7 linked regions of the Sus scrofa genome follow. The protein of the gene in region 1 interacts with the protein of each later gene in a pairwise test. Links are inferred from orthologs where the notes say so. Each region holds a gene or a part of one and is shown in the gene's direction. Other genes may lie near its edges.

What was found.
Region 2: the proteins of DISC1 (region 1) and MPPED1 interact in a two-hybrid assay, tested with the Homo sapiens proteins (2 studies listed by BioGRID and IntAct). The link is inferred for Sus scrofa from reciprocal best matches to the Homo sapiens genes DISC1 and MPPED1.
Region 3: the proteins of DISC1 (region 1) and SPARCL1 interact in a two-hybrid assay, tested with the Homo sapiens proteins (2 studies listed by BioGRID and IntAct). The link is inferred for Sus scrofa from reciprocal best matches to the Homo sapiens genes DISC1 and SPARCL1.
Region 4: the proteins of DISC1 (region 1) and SMC3 interact in a two-hybrid assay, tested with the Homo sapiens proteins (2 studies listed by BioGRID and IntAct). The link is inferred for Sus scrofa from reciprocal best matches to the Homo sapiens genes DISC1 and SMC3.
Region 5: the proteins of DISC1 (region 1) and MYT1L interact in a two-hybrid assay, tested with the Homo sapiens proteins (2 studies listed by BioGRID and IntAct). The link is inferred for Sus scrofa from reciprocal best matches to the Homo sapiens genes DISC1 and MYT1L.
Region 6: the proteins of DISC1 (region 1) and YWHAE interact in binary tests that used the Homo sapiens proteins (3 or more experiments, as listed by UniProt). The link is inferred for Sus scrofa from reciprocal best matches to the Homo sapiens genes DISC1 and YWHAE.
Region 7: the proteins of DISC1 (region 1) and SH3BP5 interact in a two-hybrid assay, tested with the Homo sapiens proteins (2 studies listed by BioGRID and IntAct). The link is inferred for Sus scrofa from reciprocal best matches to the Homo sapiens genes DISC1 and SH3BP5.

Annotation. Positions count from the first base shown.
Region 1 is NC_010456.5:58,838,455-58,841,954, reverse strand, and holds part of DISC1 (disrupted in schizophrenia 1 protein), read left to right. Parts: intron 1-1,132; coding exon 1,133-1,262; intron 1,263-3,500. UniProt on the Homo sapiens protein: Involved in the regulation of multiple aspects of embryonic and adult neurogenesis. Required for neural progenitor proliferation in the ventrical/subventrical zone during embryonic brain development and in the adult dentate gyrus of the hippocampus.
Region 2 is NC_010447.5:5,493,695-5,497,711, reverse strand, and holds the start of MPPED1 (metallophosphoesterase domain-containing protein 1), read left to right. Parts: upstream 1-1,217; 5' UTR 1,218-1,296; intron 1,297-4,017. UniProt on the Homo sapiens protein: May have metallophosphoesterase activity (in vitro).
Region 3 is NC_010450.4:131,421,454-131,424,953, forward strand, and holds part of SPARCL1 (SPARC-like protein 1), read left to right. Parts: intron 1-989; coding exon 990-1,126; intron 1,127-3,253; coding exon 3,254-3,402; intron 3,403-3,500.
Region 4 is NC_010456.5:120,976,129-120,979,628, forward strand, and holds part of SMC3 (structural maintenance of chromosomes protein 3), read left to right. Parts: intron 1-379; coding exon 380-418; intron 419-2,574; coding exon 2,575-2,642; intron 2,643-3,500. UniProt on the Homo sapiens protein: Central component of cohesin, a complex required for chromosome cohesion during the cell cycle. The cohesin complex may form a large proteinaceous ring within which sister chromatids can be trapped.
Region 5 is NC_010445.4:131,926,693-131,930,858, forward strand, and holds the start of MYT1L (myelin transcription factor 1-like protein), read left to right. Parts: upstream 1-1,366; 5' UTR 1,367-1,892; intron 1,893-1,923; exon of another isoform or gene 1,924-2,025; intron 2,026-4,166. UniProt on the Homo sapiens protein: Transcription factor that plays a key role in neuronal differentiation by specifically repressing expression of non-neuronal genes during neuron differentiation.
Region 6 is NC_010454.4:47,610,828-47,614,327, reverse strand, and holds part of YWHAE (14-3-3 protein epsilon), read left to right. Parts: intron 1-1,359; coding exon 1,360-1,466; intron 1,467-2,113; coding exon 2,114-2,320; intron 2,321-3,500. UniProt on the Homo sapiens protein: Adapter protein implicated in the regulation of a large spectrum of both general and specialized signaling pathways. Binds to a large number of partners, usually by recognition of a phosphoserine or phosphothreonine motif.
Region 7 is NC_010455.5:2,505,602-2,509,101, reverse strand, and holds part of SH3BP5 (SH3 domain-binding protein 5), read left to right. Parts: coding exon 1-103; intron 104-1,686; coding exon 1,687-1,947; intron 1,948-2,295; coding exon 2,296-2,504; 3' UTR 2,505-3,500. UniProt on the Homo sapiens protein: Functions as a guanine nucleotide exchange factor (GEF) with specificity for RAB11A and RAB25. Inhibits the auto- and transphosphorylation activity of BTK. Plays a negative regulatory role in BTK-related cytoplasmic signaling in B-cells.

The DNA of each region.
Region 1 (3,500 bases):
CCTTTCCTGAGAAGCTCTGACCCAAATGTCTGCAGATCAGTCATCTCTCTTTTTCCTCCTTCCTTCCTTCCTTCCTTCCTTCCTTCCTTCCTTCCTTTCTTTCTTTCTTTCTTTCTTTCTTTCTTTCTTTCTTTCTTTCTTTCTTTCTTTCTTTCTTTCTTTCTTTTTTTCTTTCTTTCTTTCTTTCTTTCTTTCCTTCTTTCTTTCTTTCTTTCCTTCTTTCTTTCTTTCTTTCTTTCTTTTTCTTTCTCTCTCTCTCTTTCTTTCAGGTATTCCCTGCCTGGCCCTGTCCTCCTGGTATGTTCTAAATTTCCAGGCCTGACCTACCCTTCCCAGGTCAAGCATGACCCACTCTAGGAAGTTCTCCTTGGGTGTCTTTTTTTTTTTTCTTTTTCCTGTCATCCCTCTTTGTAATGTCTGCAGTCAAGATCAGCGCTGGAATTTGGCTCTGTCTGCTCTCTCTGGATGGTCCAGGCAGAGCTGTCTGGTGAAATATAATGCAAACCACATATGTGATTTTTAAATGATCTGGTAGCCATATTTTTAAAAAGTCAGAAGAAAAACAAGTGAAATTAATTTTTAAAATGTCTTTTCTCTTGTCTTTTTGGGGTGCGGTATATGGAAGTTGAATAGGGGGTTGAATCAGAGTTGTAGCTGCTGGGCTGCACCACAGCCACAGCAACGCCAGATCTGAGCTGAGCCTGGGACCTGTGCCTTACCTTGTGGTAATGCTGGATCCATAACCCACTGAGTGAGGCCAGGGATGGAACCTGCGTCCTCATGGATACTAGTTGGGTTTGCTACCACTGATGGAGTATTTTGCATTTTGTTTTCACACTAAGACTTTAAAATCTGGTGTGTATTTTATGCTTTCAACACAGATAGCCACAGGCATTGCTGCGGTATGGACAGTGCTGCATCCAATCAAGCATGCTGGCTACTTGAGAAAGCCAAAGTCCCGACAGATTATCATTAAAGCAAAAACTTTCATTAGGGACCTCATCCCCGTGACCCTCTTAAGGATGAGAACAGCCGGGGGCCACTCTGTGGACCTTCTTTCCATGAACACGCTTGCTGGTCTGTGGATTTCAGCTCGTCCATATCTGTACCAAGATGTCTATTTTATTTTCAGAGCTGGCAGTGAAGACACCCAAGCCTGGCTCAGAATGGAGCTGAAGACGTTGGCACCCACAGTACAGGACACCCTGCATGTGTCCATCACCAGGCGAGACTGGCTTCTTCAAGAGAAGCAGCAGCTGCAGGTAAGCAGGTGAAGAATCTGCAAGAAATGGGACAGTGTTTTTCTTATGCCTTTGAGCCACATGCAGCCAAGTGGCTCTTTGCCTTGCTGGAGTGCTGCAGTTAGAGCTTTGGGGTTCACTCAGGGAGCATCGGGTGGGGCGGTCGGAGACTGGAGGGCTTGCTGGAGTCTCACTGCAGACGAGGGGCTGAGAGCTTGGCAGCGTTTGTGCCTGTTCATGGCATTCCTCATTGCCTTCGGCTTTGCTTGTCTGCCAGGCCAATTTGTCACCTCTTATCATTCTGACCTTTAGAAGGTTCTTTGGGAAGGCGGAAAAGAAATCTGAGCTGTGGAAATCTTTTATGGAGATGGCTCTCAGTTCGCACCCTGGGTGGTAGTTGTTGGGAGGCAGAGTAAGGTGTGGACTGGGCAGGGAGGGCATGAATGGGACTGACCGGGGCATGGGGGGTGGGGGGTGGCTCCAGGCTTGCCCAGAGCAGGGGGTGGCCCAGAATTGTCCAGGGGCTAGAAATCTCGGTGCTGCCCTGAGTTACAGCCAGGAGGCCATCAGGAGTCTGGAAGTCTCCAGGTCCCCCCCACCCGCCAACCCAGGCAGGTGATCTTGAACCTCTCTCCACACCTGCTTGAGCCCAGAGGCCTTGAGGCAGGAATGGGAGCAGTGAGGAAACACTGACTTCTGGAAAGAATGTAGGTCTTGAACACTAGAGTTCAGAACCCAGTTTAAGCTCTCAAGAGCTCAATGAACTTGGCTAAGTTAATGGGACTTAGACAAGTTACTGGAAGCCCTCATCCCCACCCCACTGCGCAGAGAATTCTTTTTATTTTTTATTTTTGGCTGTGTCCGTGGCATGCAGAAGTTCCCAGGCCAGGAATCAAACTTGAACCACTGTAGTAACCAGAGCCACATTTGTGACAGTGCCAGGTCCTTAACCCGCTGAGCCGCCAGGGAACTCCCAGAGAGTTCTTATTATCTGAGTTTGCCCATCCAAGTCCCTATGGTAGCAAGCTGGCAAAGGGAAGCAAATATCGTCATGATTTGAAAACACTTTCCAATAGACTGCCACTTCCATGTGCACGGAGCATCATCGCAACGTTTGGAGAGCTGAAAACGTGAAATCTGGTGTTTGGTTTCCAACAGTATTCACCAGTTGAAGCTCTACCCAATTCCCGATGACCTTAGAGAGTACAGAATATAACCGAGGCCAGGGTGTGGAATGTTTAAGGGTGCATTCTTGGCAGGACTCTGGGGGAAGGTGGGTTTATTCATTTATTCATCAGGTATTTACCGAGTTCCTACTATGTGCCAGGTCCTGCTTGCCAGGCTCAGGATTCCTGTGGAATTTACCTTCTGGTGGGGGGCAGGGATGGGGAGATAGACAAGAAATGGCAAATGTCATAAATACCTAAATTATGTACCTAGCAGGGTGTATGGTGGTAGGAGGTACAATGCATGGACCAGACGCAATGTGGGGGTACCAGGTTCTACTTACTGAGAAATGAGATTGAAGCAAATACCTGGAGTTCCCTGGTGGCTTAGCAGGTTAAGGATCTGGCATTGTCACTGCAGAGGCTTGGCTCACTGCTGTGGTGCAGGTTCCATCCCTGACCTGGGAACTTCTGATGCTTCTGGTACAGCCAAAAAAAAAAGAAGAAGCAAATGCTTAATGGAAGAGGGGGAGGGGCCTTGCAGAAATCTCCAGAAAGTGCGTTTCCAGTGGTGGGGATAGCCACTAGAAGATGGCAGTGGGAGGGTGCCTGTATGTTCTAAAGGCAGCTAGGTCAGGGTTAGGGAGGACAGCAGAAGAGAAAGTTGGCCGTAAAGGGACCTTGCAGGCCTTTGTGAGATTTTGGGCTTTTCTGTGATTGTAGTGGGAGTGGCGGGAGGGTTTTAAGCAGTGAAATGATGTCATTTGACCACATTTTAAAGAGTCACTCTGGGAGTTCCTGTCGTGGCTCTGTGGAAATGAATCTGACTAGCATCTATGAGGACGCAGGTTTGATCCCTGGCCTCCCTCAGTGGGTTAAGGATCTAGCATTGCTGTGAGCTGTGGTGTAGGTCACAGACGTGGCTCGGATCCCTCATTGCTGTGGCTGTGGTGTAGGCTGGTGGCTGTAACTCTAGTTTGACCCCAGCCCTGGAATTTCCATATGTCAAAGGTATGGCCGTAAAAAGAAAGAAAGAAAAAAAAGATTAAAAGTAGAATTACCATGTGATTCAACTGTTTCATTTCTGGGTATA
Region 2 (4,017 bases), on another chromosome or scaffold:
CTGCCTCCCTAAGGCCAGGCCAGGCCTGAGGCACCACACATAAGTTGTCCTGTCTTGAGGGTTGTGTCTGAAGCTCTGATAAAGTCGGGAGCAGAGGCACAGTGTGATGTGTGTTGGGCGAGGGGGACCCACGTGCATTTCTCGGGGTGCCTGAGACCGGCCTCTGAGGGGCTACACCTCCCTACCTCCTTCTCAGTCTGGGAGGCCCCAGCCTGACCTGTGCCCTGTGGACTGCAGTCTCCGTCCATGGCAGAGGCTAGAGGTCACGAGGGGCCTCTCGAAGTCCCCAGGGTAGGGCCACCGCTCCCAGGGGTGTGGCTCTCCCCCCACACCCCCCAATAAGGCAGGGCCTTCTTCAAACCAGGGGCCAGGTCCTCGGCCCCACCTGCGTGCTTACCTGCCCACTCCAGGTTAGGCCTCCGCTGGCCACCTACGGTACCCCGGGGTTGGGGGCCTGGGGCCCCCAGGGAGAAGACGCGGGGGGCGCAGGAGGGGGCCGGGCCTAGGCAGCCAAGGGGCTGGGGTCTGCAGCTCTCGGAGAGCGGGGCCGAGGGGGAGTCTCAGACTCCCGGTGGGAGGGGCCCGGGGCCGGGTGCCCTCGCCGCCCCGGGAGAGGGTCCGGGCCGGGGGCGGGGGCCGAGGCGCCCCGGAAGGAGCCGCGCACGCCCCAGCACGCGGTGCCCGCCGCGGCGGCCGCGGATCCGGAGGTGAGAGCGCCCCCGCCCACCCCGCGCGCGGCGGGGCTGGGGGCCGGGGCCGGGCCGGAGAGGGGCGCGGGGCGCGGCGGGGCGGCCGGCGGCCCTTTTCCGCAGCGCGGGCCCTGCGCCTCCTCCCCGCGCCCGGGCCCGCCTCCCCGCTCCCTTCTTCGGGGCGGCGGGATGCGGGCGCCGGGCCCGGGCGGGGGCCGAGGGCCGAGGCCTGGCGGGCTAGGCTGGGGCCCCGGCGGGCGGCCGCGCGGGGCCGGGGACCCAGGGCGCGAGCGCGCCCCTCCCGGCGCCGGGGCGGGGGGAGGCGGGAGGAAGCGGGGAGGGCGGAGGGCGGCGGCGGGCGGGGGAGCCGGGGGAGCTCGGAGCCGCGCGGCGGGCGGGCGGGCGAGGGAGCGGGCGGCGGGGAGCCCCCCGCCCCCGAAGGAGGAGTCTGGCTCCCACTTGCTGCCTCGGACGCGCGGCGAGGCGGCCGCCGCCGGAGGAGCCCCCGCCCCTGCGCGCCTCCCTCCCCGGAGCCGGGCCCCTGCCTCCCTCCGTGCGCGCTGCTGCTCGCGGCCGCCGCGGCCGCCGAAGAGGAGCCCGGGGCCAGGTAGGGCCGGGGCGGGCGCGGCGGGCGCGGGGCGCGGGGCGCGGACGCCGGGCCGGGCGGGGGGCGCGGCCGGGCCCCTCTCCAGGCGCGGGGTGACGCCCGCGGCGCGGCGCAGGGGCGCCCGCAAAGTTACTTTGGCTTCCTCTGCCCGGTGCCGGCGGCCGGGCCGGGCACCCCGGCTGCCCGGCCGAGCGGGTGCCGCCGGGAGGGGCTCGGCCGGGGCGCTGGACTCCGACTGGGGCCGAGGGGTCAGCGAAACTTTTCCCCAGCTCGCCACTCGCTGCTGGCTGCTGGCGGAGTTGCTGGTGGAAGAAGCGCATTGGTGGGGTGCGAGTGATGAAGATGGTGGTAACAATAGCAGCCCCTAGGCTTTGAGAGCCTACTGTGCGCAGCAAAGCCCCTGCTGGGACTTGGGGGCAAGGGAGGCAGAGACTAATGCTGGGCTAGTGGCCACTTTTGCTAGGCATTGCTGGAAACTTCATCCTGCCGCCCACCCATCCACCCACCCACCCACCCATCCATCCACTCACTCATTCTACACATATTTATTACTGTCTGCTGTGTACCAGGCGCAGGGGATTCGGTGGCTAACCAGGCAGGTTCCAGCCCTCGCAGGCAATATTTCAGGGAATGCCCAGGCTGAGGAGCAGTTCTGTCTCTTGTGTGTTTATTCTGGGACTTGGTAAAGGAGAGTGACCCCGGGGGACACAGGGGAGGGTCAGTCTGAGAGCTGATGTGTCCAGGACTCTGTGGCAGGCCACCAGCTTTGGGTCGTAGCCCTGAGGTGTCCTCCACCCCTTCCCCTCCCACCCGCTCTCCACCGGGGCTGCCTGGCTGGGGGTGGGGTGGGGGTGGGATCAGGAGGCCCCACCCTGGAAGGGGCCCCAGAGCTGCTCGGCTGACCTCTGGGGGCGGTCTTTGCCCCCAGGGCTGGGTCAGAGCCTCCCCCAAAGACCCTTGCAGGCTTGGTTGCCTCCCCTCCCCATTTCCAAGGCCTCTATTGAACGGCCCAGAGGAGAGCTTAAGTGGCAAACAATTATGAAATTAAACCAGGGAACAAAAGTGGGCTGGTTGGTGAATGGTGAGCTGGCTTCCCAGACTTGAATGGCGGTAGAAGACTTGTTAGCTGGATCAGTCATGCAGGGGGAGTGGGAGGGGGTGTCAGGCAGGCATTACCAACATCAATACCCTACCTGGTATCTGGAAAAAAAAAAAAAAAATTAAACCAACTTCATGAATAATTGGCCATATTGGCTAAAATGCTTTAGGGGATCGGAGAGGCCACTGGCCGACTGCCATCTTCAAGGCTGGACCATCCACGGGAGCCCACGTACCACGGGACCATTTGGGGAGGGGGGGGGATGTGGCTGGGCAGAGGCAGGCCTCTGGTGGTGGGGAGCACACGAGGGCTGTTGACCTAGCCGGTGGCCGTCCAGAGGCATTCTGGAGCAGGGCACAGTTAGGGGGAACCTCGGTGGGGGGGGCGTGCATGAAAAACTGCTGCACGACAGCTTGGCTCCCTGCAAATTGGCTTTCCGAGTGGCAGCCCCAAACACTTGTAAAATCTTTTTGCTCAAGATGGGTTTCTCGGAAACGCTGTCTCCTTGAGCTCCCTCCGTGGAGGCACGTTAATGTGCTGACGGCCAGTCGGAAGGCGATAGTCCAGTTGCAGAGGTTTAATCGCATATTTGGAAGTGGTTCTGCGCAGGGCTGCCTTCCTGTTTATTTCTCAGCCTTAAGAATTTCCGAAGACCTGGATGGAAGGTTCAGAGTGTCCCCTGCATGTGGGGTGTCACCTCTCCGATGCATTTGCTATGGGAATACTTAAGATCACTCGTACCCTAACTGTGTTTATGAGCTGTGGGCTGTGTTTATGGACAGATAGACTAGATCTAAGTTTAGGTGAGAGGCTAGGGCTGTAGGGTCTTTCTGTTAGTCCCCAAATTGTGTTAAAAAGCCTGCCTTTTAAAAATTTCCCAGGGAGTTCCCATTGGGGCTTAACAGGTTGAGAACTTGATCAGGATCCATGAGGATGTGGGTTTGATCCCTGGCCTCCCTCAGTGGGTTAGGGATCTGGTGTTGCCCCGAGCTGCAGGGTAGGTCAAAGACAAGGCTTGGATCCTGCGTTGCTGTGGCTGTGCTGTAGGACCCCTAGCCTGGGAACTTGCATATGCCGCAGTTACGGCCCTAAAAAGAAGAAAAAATTTCCCAGTCCACCCATGAGACTCTTAAATCTTCATCCAATGAAAGTGACTCAAGTTCATTTGTTTTCCCTTGAACTTGCTACATTCCCTTGCAGACACTCACCTAACACTGGACACATCTCTCTGCCCCTGTCTGAGGGGTTTAAGCATGGCACAGAGATTCCACCGAAGGGTAGCACCCAGGGAGAAAAATCAGCCTTCTGGGTGCAGGTTCTCGACGAGTGGAAAAAAGAGAACCCTCCCCAAAGTGCAGTCGTTTTTTAATCTATCAAAATGATTTCATTTTTCCAATTTCAGGCCTGTGAACTGATCATGAATAGCAGGGCAGAGGAAATTAATCGGCCAGGCAAAGACTTTTAACAAGTAAATATTATGCACAGAAAAACATGCAATTAGTGGAGGTTAGTTAATGCCTTTCAAGTTGCGGCGGCGAGCTGCCTTTAAGGGTGGCATTTCTGCGTTATCCCTGAATTGTCTGTCAAAAATCTTTAATGCGACAATGTGACATGTCTCTCCC
Region 3 (3,500 bases), on another chromosome or scaffold:
TTTTCCACATTAGCAGTGCTCACTCACCTCCCTCTCCTTCTGGACACACGAGAGGATTCAGCTTCTCAGCCCCCTTGATGTTAGATGCAGCCATAGGAGTCGCTTTGTCCAATGAAATCTGAGCAAAAATCATCATGTGAGTTCTGGGCAGAAGCGTATAAGAGCTGGTGTGTGGCTCTTCACCCTTCATCTCGTCTTGAGATGGTGTTGAGAGGGTGAAGTCTCCACCATCCGGAGCCCCGAGAGCCAGCGATGAGCAGAGCTCTCCTGCCGACTCGTGTGGGATGTGAAGGAGGATCAAGAGGTAAACACTTGATGGGATGTACAACAGGATGACGACAAAACACTCAACACTGCTGTATTTCACAGGTGCCGAGAAAGTAGACCATGAAAGTTCTTACCACGAGGAAATAAAAAATTGGATAACCATGAGGTGATGAATGCAGCAATCACTACACGATAGATGTGTGTCAAGTCATTTTGCTGCACACTTTACACTTAGAGTGTGGTATGTCAATTATATCTCAATGAGCCTGAAAAAAAGAAGTAAACTTTTTTTCCTTTAAGCCACAGAGATTTAACATTGTTACCACAGTATAAGCTAACTTCTGCCTTTTTCTCTTTTCCCCTAAGAAACAGCTCTTGCGACCTCTACCTCGTAATTCCAACTCTCTGATTCTGGAGCAGTGGTTCTCAGCCCTGGCCACACATGAGAATTACCTGTGGAGGTTTTTAAAGCATCCTGATTGGATTCTCATCTCCAATCAAATCAGAATTTCTTTGAACAGAAGCTGGCATCTTTGGGATGCTTTTAAAACACTCCTGGCAATTCTGCTGTGTCACCAGGATTAAGGACCACTGCTGTGATGGAGGGGCAGTGAGGAAACTGCCAGTCACTGGAAGTCATTAAGCATCCTGTCATGAGGACAATCCTCAGGGCAGGAGTAAGAACCAAAAGTCAAGATCAATTTATTTTCTGCTTGGAACAGCTATTCCTGCTTGTACGGACTTTGAAGTGACCCAGTTTCCTCTAAGGATGAGAGACTGGCTCAAGAATATCCTCATGCAGCTTTATGAGCCTAACCCTGAACATGCTGGATATCTAAATGAGAAGCAGAGAAATAAAGTAAGTTAACCATGGCTCAGCTGCCTGGGCGTCTGTCTGCGGGCCTGGAAAAGGTGTCAGGGGCTGGGGCCAGGGGCAAGGGCTGCCTTCCACTGCATATCAGCAACCACACTTGGTTAACATATAGCAGTGGTCATCGTTCAGGCCACAAGGTTTGGGAAACAAACCTCATTCCTACACAAAGCGCGGTGGCCTGAGCAAGGGCTCTTGAACTCATACCTAGGCCAAGATCTGTGGAGTAAAGTAAACCTCCATTCAGCATTTACATGTTCAGGCCCAGACATATTATTTAAGTCAAAACATCTCTTTTTCTTTCATAGGCCAGACAGAGGTGTGTGATATAAGGGAAACCCACTACTAACGATGTCAGTAATACATTAAAATTTAAAAGTGGAGAAGATTGATCCTAAAAGCGCCCAAAGAAAACTCATTCCCCAGGGAGTTACTGAGTATATCCCCAGTACCCGGAATGGATTTACATGTTGGAAACACAGCCATGAACCAAACAAAAATCTCTGCCTTTGTAATCTTACATCCTACACAAAGAGATGATATACAGTAACATAAACATGTATGCAAATATGAACATGCACGCAAATATATAAACATATGCAAGAAAATATTTATGCAAATACACATATAAGTTAAGTCAGGTGGGATGAAACATGCCATAAAGAAAAAATAAAAGGAGGTTGTGCATTAATTGTGTCAGATGCTGTTTATAGGTTAAGGATTAAGAGTTGGCCCCTGATTTGGCATGTGGCAGTCATAGTTGACCTTGACAGGAGCTGTTTCTGCAGAGCAGGAAAGAGAACATCCTGCGTGGACTGCCTTCAAAAGAAAATAGGAGGAACGGTGTGGGAAAAGTGAAATGGGGTGGCAGAGAGAGAGAGGAATGTGAGTTCAAGTGTCCTCTTGCAGTTCCCATCCTGGCTCAGTGGAAAGCAATCTTACTAGTATCCATGAGGATGCAGGTTCAATCCCTGGCCTCGCTCATAGGTTAAGGACCTGGCACTGCCGTGAGCTGTGGTGTAGGTCACAGACCCAGCTTCGATGCCGTGTTGCTGTGCCTGTGGCTATAGTTCCGATTAGACCCCTAGCCTGGGAACCTCCATATGCCAAGGGTGAGGCCCTAAAAAGACCAAAAAAAAAAAAAAAGAGCCCTATCTACCATCAGGAGATGGTAGAGGATGTTTGTGTGCTTCTGGAAATAACCCAGCAAAGAAGGAAAGGTGCCCAACTGTCACAGCGTATTCTTGAGTAGATGAGAAGGGGTGAGCTTCTGAGCGCCAGGGAGGGGCTGGACTTAGATGAGGAGCATAGGAAGTTCACCCACAGTGACAAGGAGGGACATTGGTAGCTGTGTTCATGGGAACGGGTAGAAGTTCTGTTCTGATTGCTTCCAATGACTCAGTGAAATAATGGGCAACGGCACCAGCTGAGAGTTTTATATGTACATACACGCATTGCCCCTAAATAATTTCTAGCCTCTCTCTCTCACAACACGTCGTCACAGACAGGCTCGAGAGCATGAGATACACAACAAGGAGATGTCAATGAGGGGGCCAACCCAAGACTCAGCAGGCATGGGGTGGAAATACAGGGAGAATCAAGAACAGAGAACACCAGGGGGGAAGAGCTGGACACCTCACTAACGAATGAACGATTTTGTCTAGGTCAGTTCAGCCCTTTCCATTAAAACCCTCTCACAGTTTGAAGAAATGTGGTGAACCTTACTCGGTTAAAAGATCAAAAAAGACAAATTTCTTCTGAAAACCGCAGTTATTTTTTTAATGTCTGCTGTTATTCTGTGTAATAAGAAAGGCTCAGCGTTCTCTCTGTGGTTGCTGCTGTAACGTGGGTTCGATCTCTGGCCCAGAGACTTTCATATGCCACAGGCACAACCGAAAAAAATAAAAAACAAACATAATTCTCAACTTAAGGAAAAAAAATAAGAAAGAAGAAAGGCTGTAGCGTTGATGAGAAGGCGCGTAATGGGTTCTCCAGTGACGTTCTGCACTGGGTTTCCTCTGCCACGTTGAGTTCCTATCCCCGAGAGGTTTAGCGAGCGAGAATTCCACTTCACTTGTCTGATTCTCTGATGATGTTCTCCCTTCCTGATCGCAGGTCAAGAAAATTTACCTGGATGAAAAGAGGCTCTTGGCTGGGGACCATTCCATCGACCTTCTCTTAAGGGACTTTAAGAAAAACTACCACATGTATGTGTATCCCGTGCACTGGCAGTTCAGTGAGCTTGACCAACATCCGCGGGACAGGTAAAAGCCTTTTATTTTCCCATGACCAGGGCACCTCCCCGATATAAGGGCTATCTATACTAAGAGAATTCTAAACAGATTCAGGAAATTTCCCAGTT
Region 4 (3,500 bases), about 62 Mb from region 1:
AAAAATTTTAGCTTTATATGAGTCTTTAAATTGTTAGAAATATTTTATTATATACAGTTAAAATAGAACTACATGGTCATTGTAATGATTATATAAATGATGAAAATCAAGTAGTATGTATAGTTACTCCTAATAATTGGGAAAGAGCAAAATGAATAAACAATAAACTAAATTTCTTTAAGAAAAAAGTCTGTTTAAAAGCTGCATTCACTTGGTAATTAAAACTGTTTTATTGACTGTTTTTGTTGTTCACTGTTCTGTTGTATTTAATTTCAGTTTTTAAGATGTTAGAAAATTGCCTTTTATATTTTTTAATACTTTCAGTAATGTTTTGTCTTTTACACAAAATATGTAACATGTACTTTTTGAAATTTTATAGTGGGCAGAAATGGATCTGGAAAAAGTAACTTCTTTTATGGTAGGTATTATTTTTCGAATTCTAAATATAGTGAGACCTGGGTATCTTAAGGTAGTTTTATCTGAGGTTATGTCCTCATGAAACACCAGAAAACAGGGTTTTAATGTAGAGTGTAAGAATCTGAGTTCTACTCTAGTGATTAATTAGCCATGCGACACGACAAAATACTTAATCTCTCAAAGTACTACTTTATTTTAAAGACAGATGTTTGCCCTGCCTACCTTATACCTGAGATCAGTAGTCAGAGTCAGATGAGATAATACTTAGAGAAGTGCTTTCTAAACTTGGGTGCTGGAGTTCCCGTTGTGGCTCAGTGGTCAACGAAACCGACTAGGAACCATGAGGTTGCGGGTTCAATCCCTGGCCTCGCTCAGTGGGTTAAGGATCCAGTGTTGCTGTGAGCTGTGGTGTAGGTCGCAGATGCGGCTCGGATCCCGAGTTGCTGTGGCTCTGGCGTGGGGTCTACAGCTACAGCTCTGATTAGACCCCTAGCCTGGGAACCTCCATATGCCACGGGAGCAGCCCAGGAAAATGGCAAAAAGACAAAAAATAATAATAATAATAATAAAATAAACTTGGGTGCTGTATGTAAATGTATGTAGGTAGGGAGGGAAAATATGGGTGCAGTAGAATAGTTAATATTGTTTTGGAAAATGACTCATCTCTTTGATTTAAGTCAATCATTTTAATAAAAGATGGAGGGGTTTAAAAACTTTAGACTCAACAAAGACTTTTGTTTTTGTTTTTGCCATTTTTTGGGCTGCTCCTGTGGCATATGGAGGCTCCCAGGCTAGGGGTTGAATCGGAGCTGTAGCCGCAGGTCTACGCCAGAGCCGCAACAACACAGGATCCGAGCCGCGTCTGTGACCTACACCACAGCTCACGGCAACACTGGATCCTTAACCCACTGAGCAAGGCCAGGGATTGAATCCTCAGCCTCATAGTTCCTAGTGGGATTCGTTAACCACTGAGCCACGACGGGAGCTCTCACAAAGACAGTTGTTGATTTGAAAATAGTAAATAGAGCTTTGAAAATTATCTCTAAAGATAAAATGCAGTTAAGAATAGTAATGCTTCTGTTAACTTCTTTTTTTTTTTTTTTTTTTTTTTTTTTTTTAGGGCTTCACCCATGGCATATGGAAATTCCTGGGATAAGGGTCAAATCGGAGCTATAGCTGCCGGCCTACACCACAGCCACAGGAACTCGGGATCTGAGGTGCATCTTCAACCTACACTACAGCTTATGGCAACACCAGATCCCCAACCCAGTGAGCCGGCCAGGGATTGAACCTGTATCCTCATGGATACTAGGCATGGATACTAGGTACAGTGGGTACTCCAGCAAATCTTTGGAAGAGAAAAAATATTTTAACAGAATCGGACTGTATAAGGAGTAGGTTGAAAAAATTTTGGACCTCTCAGTTGGACTAGTGTTTGAGGAAAGGTGGTGGGGGTTAGTAATAGCAAAGGTTCTATCCCTTCTATGCTCACAAATCTAAATAGTACTCTATACCCCATCACTGGTGGTAATTTGGGGATGGTGAGAAAAGTAGTATTGGAATGGAAGTATTTCATAATCTCTTGGAGAGGATACACATATATACACATATTCTTTTTTATAGTGTCAAAGGTCTCTTGATATCCTATTAAGAATATAGGAATTTATCCTATTTTGTTAAATTTCAAAATTTAGAAATTCCCTGCTCAGTAGGTTAAGCATCTGGCATTGTCACTGCTGTGGTATGGTTTGATCCCTGGCCTGGAAACTTCTGCATGCTGCAGGCATGGCCAAAAAAATAAAATTTATATCCTTTATTTTTAGTAGGTAAAAGCAAATATAGCATGAAGCCTAACCAGTGTATACTTTGATCAAGAGGTATACCTTAGTTCTGCTTATCTTTTTGTGTTTCTAAGTGTTCTCTTTTTGTTTTGTTTCAGTAAAAAACTTTTTAATGTTTTTTTAGTATCATTTCCTAGCCAATTAGTCTGACGTATGGGCAGATTTTCTGCATTTATTTTGTTTATATGAAACAGGTAATCTACTTTATCTACATCATTCATTACCTGATACACTGTATTCTCTGAAAGTATGGGAATTATGAATAGGGCATAAATCCTTTTATAGATTGTACTAATAATTATTTTTGTATTTCTAGCAATTCAGTTTGTTCTCAGTGATGAATTTAGTCATCTTCGTCCAGAACAGCGATTGGCTTTGCTGCATGTGAGTGAGGCTGCTTTAACACATTATTGATGTTGAATACTTCCAAAAATACATTGTCAATTCTGGTGAACAGTTATTTGTTCAAGTTTCAGATCCTTTGTGACCATGACGCAGTCAGTCTCTCTTTTAATGTGTGGTGTTCTGCTGTGAAATTTAGTCTACTATATTAATACAGGATAAAGGCTTAATTTTTATATAATGGTAATTAAGAAGATTGTACAAGTTCCCTTTGAATGGATATGTCTTCCAAATAAATGTAAATTCTTTATTGAAAGTATGGTCTGGTAAGGGGCTGAAAGCAGGTTTGCTGGAAAGAGTTAAGTTGGGAATTAGAAACTTTGAGAATTAGGATCATAAGTTAATTGGGAGTGTAGAGAAGCAACCATTGCAGACTAAACAACGTAAAGTTGTTTTTAACCATGTTTGTACTTAAATGGTAACATTTTCTCATATGAAGGGCAGTATATTTATAGTAATGACAGTTGTTAGAATTTTAAATAGATAATTATGAATAATAAAATAATTTTAGGATAAGAAAGCATAAAAAGCTGTGATAAAATGCTATCTGTCTTTCTGTGTTTTTTTTGTCTTTTCTAGGGCCTCACCTTTGGCATATGGAAGTTCCCAGGCTAGAGGTCTAATCAGAACTGTAGCCACCAGCTCACGCCACAGCAACGCAGGATCAGAGCCGTGTCTGACCTACACCACAGCTCACAACAACGCCAGATCCTTAACCCACTGAGCGAGGCCAGGGTTTGAACCCACAACCTCATGGTTCCTACCTGGTCGGGTTCAGTAACCACTGCGCCATGACGGAACTCCTATCTTTCTGGTTTTTAAGCATGGTTTATAATTTTA
Region 5 (4,166 bases), on another chromosome or scaffold:
GCTTCTAATTTTTAAGGCATTTTTCATGAGCAATGATAATGAAAATGCCTATATATATGTTAAAAAAACACCTATATATATATATATATATATATATATATTAAAAAAAAGCCCTGAAGAATTTGACAGATATTGAAGCATATAGTTTATTTGAGGGTCATCTTAAAAGTATACTTAAGAATTTTTTAAGTCAGAGATTCATTTTTAATAAATGTTGTTAGATTATTGCATCAGTTAGTCACCTTTTGTTTTTCTATTTTTGATGCTTCATGTTGCATAATATCTAGGATACAGTAACAGCCTGGTTGCAAATGCTTGAAACAGAAATAGGTTCTTTGGAGGCTGCATTTCAGAGCATCCGACTGTGAGGCTAGGAAGCAGAGCTAGAGTTCCCTCAAGGTCCGTTGCCCAGGATTTGGTTAGAAATCATTGTATCTAGGATAAAAACGTTGAGTCGGTCTTTAGGCAGCTTGAGTGTATAACTGGCCCTTTCACCCCAGGACTTATCGAGCGCCCCCCCTCCCCAGAAGAAAGCGGGAGGTAAGCTCAGTTTCACAATCCGGGCGTGGGCAGGCAGTCTGCACGCGAGCAAGAGAATTAGAATTGAACACTCCATTCCATCTCCCCCGACCATGCACACACACATACCAGGGCACCCGCACGCGTGCGTGCACACACGCATGCACACATACACACACACACTCTCCATCACCAGCCGGTCAAGGGAGAAAAGGGTGATACCTTTTTAAAAACCGAAAAGCAGAAAGCCATTATTAGCAAGAGCTATATTGAGCATGCTTGCCAGACAGGCAGCAAAGCTGAGCTCCAGTTCCGCCCAGACATGTGCCTTGCCATTTTCATTTTAATCAGCCTGCTCAGGATGGCTGCTGATTCATTTTGCAGGATGTCCCCCTGGGAGCCAAGGTGGAAGCCTGGGGCGAGCGGCTATTGCATCGATGCAGCTCACATCAGACGGGGTGGGGGCGGGGAAGAGCACAGACTGCCACACGCCACATCCCAAATTTCAATATGGCTATTTAAAATCCTTCATGAAACCACATCCTTTACAGTAACTATAATAGAACAAAAAGAAAAGAAAAAAATATGTCACACTGTCATTTCATTATCCAACTACCCGCAGCACGCGCGCGCTCACACACACACACACACACACACACACACACTCTCTCTCTCTCTCTCTCTCTCTCTCTCTCTCTTCCACAGAGAGGCTCGCAATTCTGCCTCTTTTATGGTCACGGTAAAATGCACAATACACATATGTATTTTTTTGCTTTTTATTTACCTGGTAACTAGCTGGGGTGGTACCTGATCTGGCTGGAAACTGATTTGCTGGATTGACAACCTTATTATGCAGTGAGCTTATTATTGATATGATTCTGTTCTCGGTTGCCATGGCCACCGTGTGAGAGACATTCAATTTTCTCTCTTCCATCATCATTATCTATGAGGCCATCTGTTGTGGAAAATGAATTCAGCCTCATTTGCATGACTGATAAGCATTTTTTTTATCTACTTAACAGAAGGTCATATGCCGGGGATTTGGAGCTCATGAAAAAAAACGTGGAAAAAAAAAGCATATCGAGAGGATGAGTGGGAGTGTGTGCATTAGGGGCTGTATGGGGAAGTAAAACAGATCCCTCAGGCCTGCGAGCCTATCACACTGCATTTGTCATTCCTGCCGGGGCGACATTTTTTTTCCCTAAGCTACTGCACACTAAACAGGGAGAGAGCTTTCCTTGCAGCCTTCTTGAAGCCCCCTGATTTTTGTACTCATTGTTGGTGGGTGTATTTTAATTTTTGATCCCCTGGACTATGGGTTACGATATCAGTATTCACTGAAGACAAAAAGCAGCCTTTTCTGCATCTCGGTGGTAGGCATATTCCTCATCATCCTTTCAGGCTTGGGGTGGAATAGGGCTGGTTTGCTTTCTGTGTGTTTCTAGCCAGCACAGTCACCAAAATTGAGCTTGTCTAACTTGGGAGCTGTTGTGGTCATGTTGTGAGGTACGTGATCTTTGTTAGGTTAATTCTGGGGACTTAGTGGACAGGGTCTGTTTTACCGTAGCTCAAGGGCTTGTGCTATAATGCCTATTGTTTGCTCCTTTTAAAGTTATTTTTATAGCATGGCTGGCAGCTGAAATGTTCCTGGGCTATAGGAGTTTGTAATCCACAGAAATCTCTCTCTTTAGAGTTGAAATGGGTACTAGGTTGCATGCCTTAACCGTGATGTTGTTTATAAAAAAAAAAAAAAAAAAAAAAAAAAAAGACCTCGCTGCATGGACAGTACTTGGATATGTGGATAGTGAAACAAAAACTTCCCAGAGACTTTGCTGGATTACTTTACATTGCAAATGAAGCATATCATTTTTTGCAAAGGCTGTTAAAACATGAGATATTCTCGATGTAATGTTATATTTGCCTAATGGTAAGAAAGTTGACTTATACTGTTAAAATTAAGAAACTCAAATAAAGATTTTTAACTATAACTGAAATGTTTGAAGTTCATAAAAATGAAACAGTGTTTCATTTGTAACAGAAAGATGACTTGAACATCTTTGCAAGTTCAAACTGCAAACTTTTATCTTCAAGATAGATCATAATAAGACCTAAATTTATATATGATTCAAAATATAGAGCTCTGATTTTGAATTTAGTATTAATTAAGCCATGATAATTTCTTGCACCACCAAAACAACATAGTCTATAAAATTTTAAGTTATTTAATTAGAGTAAAAATCTGTTATAATAAAAGCTTTTTGGTTTAAGTGTTTGTATTTTTTACTGAATAAAACCAACTTCATAGACAAAAGCATCCTAGGACCACCCTTACGACCATAAGGGAGGCTTTCTTTCTAATTGCTCAACTTCATGAAAGTCATGTAGCTTAGATGATAGACACATGTCTTCCATACAGATAAAAATGGGCTTATCTTTAAAATTATAAAAAGAGTTTTTCTACAATACTCCTTTTTGAAAAACAGCACCACTGTATGCCCATAACTTTTCGCCTCTCAAAAACTTTGAATCCAAAGTGTTGATTGTATGTTATCCATGCTACTTACTTATACATTCTAGGGGGGGGGAAAGGGTATTTATTTTTCTAATTGACCTAGAGGAAAGTGTATGATTCTGTCACCTCAAGTACAATAGGTCAATTGGTCAAAATTCTTCTTAAAATTGTACTGTAGCAATAAACATTCTTTATGAGAGTCGACCTGAGCCGATATGTTTGTGTAATAGTTCTCTACTTGATGGCACTTTTAAAAACTCTCACTGCAGTATCATAGACTTCTCATAGGCAATAGCAGCTGTTACATAATCCTTCCTTTTTTAATCAGCCATATTTTTTATATTTTAGCTTGAGTATTAAAGAAATACTTTCTTTTTAATATTAATTTACACTTAAAGATTTTTAGAACAATAAAAGCCTGATAGTTTACGAAGGTTATTTCAAGTGACCTCACTTTTCTCAGAGGACTGTAGTTAAAGCATTAGTAATATACCTGGATTTATATTATGATGTGAAGGATTATGCAGTTGCCTTTTGATCAGTACATATAGTCCAGCTTTTTGCAGCAAAATTGTCAACTTCTGAGAAACCTAGGAGATAGCACAGTTGATTTTTTCCCTCCCCCCCCAAGAAAAGTTAATTACCAATCTTGGTTGGATTCTTCCTTGCCTCCCTGACATTTGACTGCTGCTAATTCACTGATTAATCTCATTAATGTGATTATAGCAGGATTTGGAGTTGGCTGCCATTGTTCTGTAGACAGTGCTATTCAGCCCGAGTGCTTGCCACCTCATTCAGTTTTGCTGTGATTTTTCAAAGGCTGGTTGAGTGAGCTATTGTGAGCAAGGCTGCTCTCCCTTTCCCTTTCAGCACCGGGAGCTGTCCGCTGCTGATAGCAATTACATTCAGCAGTGACGGACTTCCTACTAGTTTACTGGCAATGTGAAAATGGCTCAGTTTCATCACCTTAACCATGGTACCCGTTGAGGCAGAAGTGGCAGCCGGTGTCATGGTCACAACTGGATATTCTGAAGGTTGTGGCAGGAAAGATAGACAATCCTTGTATCTTTATTTTGCACGTAAAATTTTTATCCTACTTTTCAAATTTCCGAACATGATTTTATTAAAATTACTG
Region 6 (3,500 bases), on another chromosome or scaffold:
TTTTTTGGCAGCCCTGTAGCATATGGAGTTCCCAGGCCCAGGATCAGATCTGAGCCACATTTGCAACTTAGGCTGCACCTGTGGCAAAGCCAGATCCTTGGACCTCCTGTGCCAGGCTGGGGTTGAACCTGTGTCGTCCTGTTGCTACAGAGACGCCACTGATCTGTTGCGTGCAGCAGGAACTCCATCATTGTTTTAATAGAGTAGAAAATACCCCATGGCATTGGGCATTTCATAAAGTTGTTTCATATATATGTGATGTTTTTCTTATTGTGGGTTTTGGTTACAAAAGTTTGATTTACTGTAGTGGTTCTTAACCAGAGGTTGATTTTGCTCCTCGGAGAACATTTGGCAATGTCTAGAGACGTTTTTGGTTTTCACAGCTCGAGGGTGCCACTGGTATTTATTGCGTAGAGGCAGGGATACTGCTAAGCATCCCATTATGCATAGAATAGCACCCCCCCCCCAACAAAGATGTATGTAGCCCAAAGTGTCACTAGTGCTGCTACTGAGAAACTGATTTTAGTGGAGCAGAGAGACATATAATCACACTCATTTAAGAGTACAGTGAGGGAAATGACAGAAACAGTCACAAAGCATAGGGAGAGATATTACACTCTATGTAATTGTGCAAGTTAATTTAATCTTTAAATGATCTTGTAAAGGATAGGTTACTATTCCACTTTATAGATGGGAAAAACCAAGGTTGTTCTGAGTGATTAAGTAACATACCTGGTACCACATAGAAGGTGGTGAGCTGGTATTAGTGTGACCATTACCTTCAAATACGTTGGAACAAACAGGAATCGTCAGTAGACAAGTTTGATGTCTCAGGGATGAGGAAATGAGAAAGTTTAATGTGCTGAAAAGAGAAGTCTGTGTGCTAGATTATAGGATTTGGGGTAAGTAGGAAAGGAAGCAGGAAGCAAAAAGAGGGACTGATAAATTGGGAGAAGATGAGAGTCAAGAGACCGGATGTCCTGATGTGCCTTTAAGTAGGAATAATAGTAAGAAAGGAACTAGAAAAGGAAGTTGTAATCCAGTAGTAAAATACTGGAATTTAAGAATTCCAGGATAGGAGTTCCTGCTGTGGCTTAGTGGGTTAAGAACCTGACTAGTATCCATGAATGTGCGTGTTCGATCCCTGGCCTCCTCGCTCAGTGGGTTAAGGATCTGGCATTGCCACAAGCTGTGGCTCAGATCTGGAGTTGCTGTGGCTGTGGTGTAGGCTAGCAGCCACAGCTCGGATTTGATCCCTCGTCTGGGAACTTCCATATGCCGAGGGTGTGGCCCTAAAATAAAAAAAAGAATGATAATTTGTATAATTTCGTATTTAAAGTTTTTGACTTTTTTTTTTAGGTTGAGACTGAGCTAAAATTAATCTGTTGTGACATTCTGGATGTACTGGACAAACACCTCATTCCAGCAGCTAACACTGGCGAGTCCAAGGTTTTCTATTATAAAATGTAGGTTCTATACTAGATGGGAAAATGTCAGATTAAATGTTGGCCTTTTTAGAATCACTTTTTCTTTTAGGTTTTCAGCATTTTATTTAATGTTGAAAGGGTAGTTAACGGGAGGACTGAATCTCAAAACTTACATTAATTTTTGAACACACATTTGCAAATTTACTGCTAAGAAGAATCAGTATTACTGCATTTAAGACGGTCAGACTGTTACTGTAAAAATGTCCTAGGTTTTGCTTTTCCTATTTATTATGTTCATTGGCTTGTGTAGGGCTGCCCCCCCTAGCTACAAGTAATGCAAAGTTTTTTTTCATGATTAATAAACTACCGTGTCAGTCTTTGGAACCATTTTTCTGTTTTAATTCAGGTCTGTCAAGTGGTTAAATTTGATTTTTTTTGAGCCCTTTTGGTTAATTTTGTCTAGGATTTTTCTTAACATTTGGCAGTGTGAAATCTGAGGAAAACTAAAGAGATGAGGCAGTCATTCCTGAAAGAGACTTTTTGAAATTTCTGAATTATATGTGTTAATTGTTATGCATTTTTTTTGCATACTTGATTTTATGTACTACAGAAAAATTTGAGGAATTTATTTTAAAAGTATTATTCCTAATTCTGTTGTTTTTTTGTTTGTTTTTGTTTTGTTTTAGGAAAGGGGACTACCACAGGTATCTGGCTGAATTTGCCACAGGAAACGACAGGAAAGAGGCTGCAGAGAACAGCCTAGTGGCTTATAAAGCTGCTAGTGATATTGCAATGACAGAACTTCCACCAACACATCCTATTCGTTTAGGTCTTGCCCTCAACTTTTCAGTATTCTACTATGAAATTCTTAATTCCCCTGACCGTGCCTGCAGGTAAGTCATGAAAGAGAACAAAAGCTCTCAACTGTGAATGTGAAAAAGGTTACAAGGGAGAATAGCTACTTGTTTTTCTGTCTTGTTCCCTGGGACTGCTTTTGTCCCCTTGGCCATGTAATAAGAATTATTTTGGGAGATCCTGTCATGGCTCAGTGGTTAAAGAATGTGGCATCCATGATGATGCAGATTTGATCCCTGGGCTCACTCAGTGGATTAAGGATCTGGTATTGCTGTGAGCTGCGGTGTAGGTCGAAGACATGGCTTGGATCCCGAATTGCTGTGGCTGTGGTGTAGGCCCAGCAGCTACAGCTCTGATTCGACCCCTACCCTGGGAACCTCCATATGCTGAGGGTACGGCCCTAAAAAAGTAAAAAACAAACAAACAGAAAGAATTATTTTGGCTCTTAATGAAACTGTTTTGGATGATATATAGACTGACTGATTTCAGTTCACTAGGATAGCAGGATAATTATGTTGATGGGGAAAAATTTGATTGGTAGAAATTTTCACAGTACTTCATTTTTATGTATTAATTTTCAAAGCCTTTCTACCATGTTTTTAATATATTACACTCTTAGTGTACATCTCATTTTGTATTTTGCATCCTGTTACTTCCATCAGTATGTGAATATTCCCTCATTTATACTTCAGATTGTGCCCCCCCCCCCTTTTTTTGTCTTTTCTAGGGCTGCCCCTGTGGCACATGGAGGTTCCCAGGCTAGGGGTCTAATTGGAGCTGTAGCTGCCGGCCTATGCCAGGGCCACAGCAAAGGATTGGAGGCATGTTCTCGACCTGCACCACTGCTCACGGCAACGCCGGATCCTTAACACACTAAATGAGGCCAGGGATCAAACCCCTGACCTCATGGTTCCCAGTCGGATTCATTAACCACTCAGCCATGACGGGAATGCCAAGATTGTTCCCAGTTGTTGATACCGACATAAATTTGAGGAATATCTTTTTTTAAATTAATTTTTTTAATCATTTATTTATATATATATTTCTGTACAGCATAGTGACCCAGTTATACTTACATGTGTACATTCTTTTTTCTCATACTACGTGTTCCATCGTAAGTGACTAGACAGAGTTCCCAGTGGGAGTATCTTTATCTACATAGCTTTTTACTTATTAAATATGTATAACGTTTATTATTCTAATGATTTTTTCATTTTT
Region 7 (3,500 bases), on another chromosome or scaffold:
TCCAGTGCCATGGGGCCCCGCGGCCGTGGCGTCGGCGCTGAGGGGGGCAGCACAGCCACTGAGGACCTGTCAGGGGGCAAGCCCGAGCCCGATGCTGTTTCTGGTGAGTTGGGGGTGCATGTGGCCTGCTCCTGCTCTTCTCTCCCCCACCCCCTTCCCACCCTGTTTTGGGACACTAGTCACCAAGATGCTGCTGTGTATCTGCAGAATCAGGATTCTGTGGTCATGTTTGGAAAATGTCACACTCTCATCCCCAAGTAATATGAGGGCATTCCAGGCTCTGAGAAGTCCTGCAGGGATGAAGAGTTGTCTGGAATAGGGACTTTGGAATCCGATTTGATTCGAGTCCTGGCCTTTGCACCATGACTAGTACGTGATGCGGGCAAGCATGTAACTTCTATCTCTTTCTTCCCCAGTAAAGCAGGGCACATGATAGTCCCTGATGTCCACTGTGTAGAGCAGTGGTCAGGTTTAATTGAAGGAGTGCCAGCCCCCAATGGACAATGCATGTGGTGTCTGGCCACCCCTGGGAAACTGACTCAGAGAGTTGCTTCGGCTCCCCCTATGTCAATCCAGAACCCCCGCTCCCTCCCCCAGTGCCGCCTCCGGGACCTTTTTTTGCCCCTTCTGTGGAGTGATGGCTCTTGCCACCTTCCTCAGGTGGGCTTTAATTCAGCCAACAGATGTTCACGCGTCAGGCCCCAGGTAAAAGAAGGAATTATAATTTGAGCATCAGTGATGTGAGCACATTAGTGCTCACCATCTCGTAAACCTGTGAGGAGAGGAACATGAACCTGAGAGAGGTTCAGTAACTTGACTGAGGCTACAGAGCATATAGCGGAGAAAGGATTTGCTCTCAGATCTGAGCCCACTGTCTGTGCCCAGCATCACAGTCCTTCTCATGGGCGCCAGTCCTCCATGGGATGCCACAGGTCGTTTTTAAAGCTGAGGGAGGAGGACAAGGGCGTGGGATGGCATGTGGGCTGAGGAGTAAATAGTTTAAGGCCGAGGCAGCTTTTAAACCACCAGAATCTCTGGGCCTTGCTTATTCTGGTCCACAAAACGAGTAAGGCACAAGCTACAGAGCAACATAAAGGTATTGTGGGCTTGTTTTTGTTTTTGTTTTGTGGCAAATGGTGATCTCTGTGGGCTCTAAGCATGTCTTTTATGGGATCACAAGTTACTTGGAGGGAGACAGAGGTCCCAGCAGACATTCCGCACAGAGCTGTCTCGTCCAGCAGCTCCTGCTGCTCCCACAGAACGGAGGAAGATTCCTCAAGTCTGGCTGGCTTTGTTTAGGATGCATTGGGCAGGCCAGCCCTCTTCCTGTGCTCTTGGGGATCTATCTTGGGGACTGGGGTGAAGAAAAGCCCCGTATCTTTGGCTGAATTCACCTTCCATCATGAGGCAGGGTCTGGTGACGGTGACTTCCAAGGCAGGGGCTGTAAAGTGACGGGAAGGATACTGACCAGCCACGGGGCCCAGCGGCTTCTCTTCAGGGTGCTCCAGAGCCTGGCCACTCGAGTACAGGCGAGCCACGTCCCTTTCATCAGGTGCCCACAGTGGCCGGGTCCTGCAGTTCCCAGCCCCTGCCCAGCTCCTCCAGCAGTGGACACATCTGGAGGTGTGTAGGGGCCGGGCTGCTGTCCTTCAGACCTGTGTGACGACTGTCCCCTCTCATCCTAGTGGCCTCCGAGGCCTTCGAAGATGACAACTGCAGCACCTTCGTGTCTGAAGATGACTCGGAAACCCAGTCTGTGTCCAGCTTCAGCTCAGGACCCACAAGTCCGTCCGAGGTGCCTGACCGGTGCCCTGTGGCCGTGAGGCCGGGCAGCCTGGACCTGCCCAGCCCTGTGTCCCTGTCGGAGTTCGGGATGATGTTCCCGGTGCTGGGACCTCGCAGCGAGTGCAGTGGGGCCTCCTCTCCTGAGTGCGAGGTGGAGCGAGGTGAGTGCCCGTCCTGGATGCCGGGGTGCTGGGGACGTGCTGGGGTGGGGACAGAGATGGTTCCCAGCTCCGTGCCTGACCAGGATCAGCGTCCTTCTGCCTCTCATCACAATAGTCCTCTTGACAAGCACCTGCTAGAGAGGTCTGTTTCCCAGCTGTCACAGGGGTGTGACAGATTTCATCTCTAAAGATGAGGGATATACGGAGTTTCTCGAGAAACACAGGCAGTGAGACGTTAACGCGATGGAGGGGCTTCTGTGACAGGCTCGGTGGAGCAGCACTGGGAGAGTCTGGGTTGAGCCGGCTGACGGGCTTGGTACTCACGCCTTGATCTTTACGTTTCTACAGGAGACAGGGCAGAAGGGGCAGAAAATAAAACGAGTGACAAAGCCGGCAGTCATCGGGGTCTCGGCAGCAGCGGCGGTGACAACGGCAAGAGCCCGAGTGGCCCGTCCGAGGCCCGGGCCTTGGAGGACAGGATGCGGCAGCTGTCCCTGCAGGGCTCCAAGGGCAGAGACGAGGTCCTCGTGGACATGAGCATGGTGCAGGTCGGCTGATCCAGCCGTGGCTCTGGCCTAAGCACACAGCGATATTTATACACGAAACTGTACGGAGAGCGTTGTGCCAATAATCCTTTGATGTATGCCAAATCCTAGCATTTCCTCTAAACTGCACTAAGAACGTTTCAGTGACCTTGAGGGCAGAAGATGTTTCTTCTGGGTGACAGCTCTTGGGCTGGAGCGTTTTTCAGCGCAGAGGTGTCGTTGCAGGTGGGCTGTGAGCAGGCCCACAGCCTTTGTAGGACGTTCCTTGTCACCGTGTCATGGAAGCAATAACTGGTCCCTGGGAAAGACCCCGAGTCAGGAAAGGGGATGGGAAACCGAGCCCGGCCAGGGTCATCTGGGAAAATGACCTGTTTTCTCCTTTAGATCCCTTGGGATCTAAAGGAAAAAAATACATGAGACAAAACTCAACACCTTTTTGACCCAGTGAAAGCTTTCCAAAAAAAAAAAAAAAAAATCCGAGAACACAGTTCATGTTCATTATCTCTGATTTATGGAGGGGGATTTTAGAAGAGTATATTTGGTGGGACACCCATTAAAATCATTTTCTATATAAGCTTACCATGAGCTGCACTTTTTGGGGGTGGGAAAGGTGAATGCTGGTCTGGGGAGGGGGACAAGGGCAGCAGGGGCCTGTCACAGAAGGGGGTTCGTGGCTGTTGGGGAGAAGGTTCTGTAGCATAAACCTCATCCCATCAGCCAAGGGGACTTATTCTAAGAGAAGTTGCATGTGAGGAATGGTTGCCAGTGTTCTAGATCGACAAGGTGTTAATTTCTCCATAGGTTGTAACTTTAACAATAAATTATGATGCACTAGTATTTCTTAGAGGAAACTGTTCCTTCCAGCTAGGAAAGGGAGTAGGCATGTGTTGGCAAAGGCTGTTAAATAGAAGCAGTGGCGTCTGTTATGCTAATAGTATGTTATGTGACTGCTGTTCTTGTTTTCATGGTTACATGCATTTAGAGCTTTGTATTTCATTTGTCCTTTTC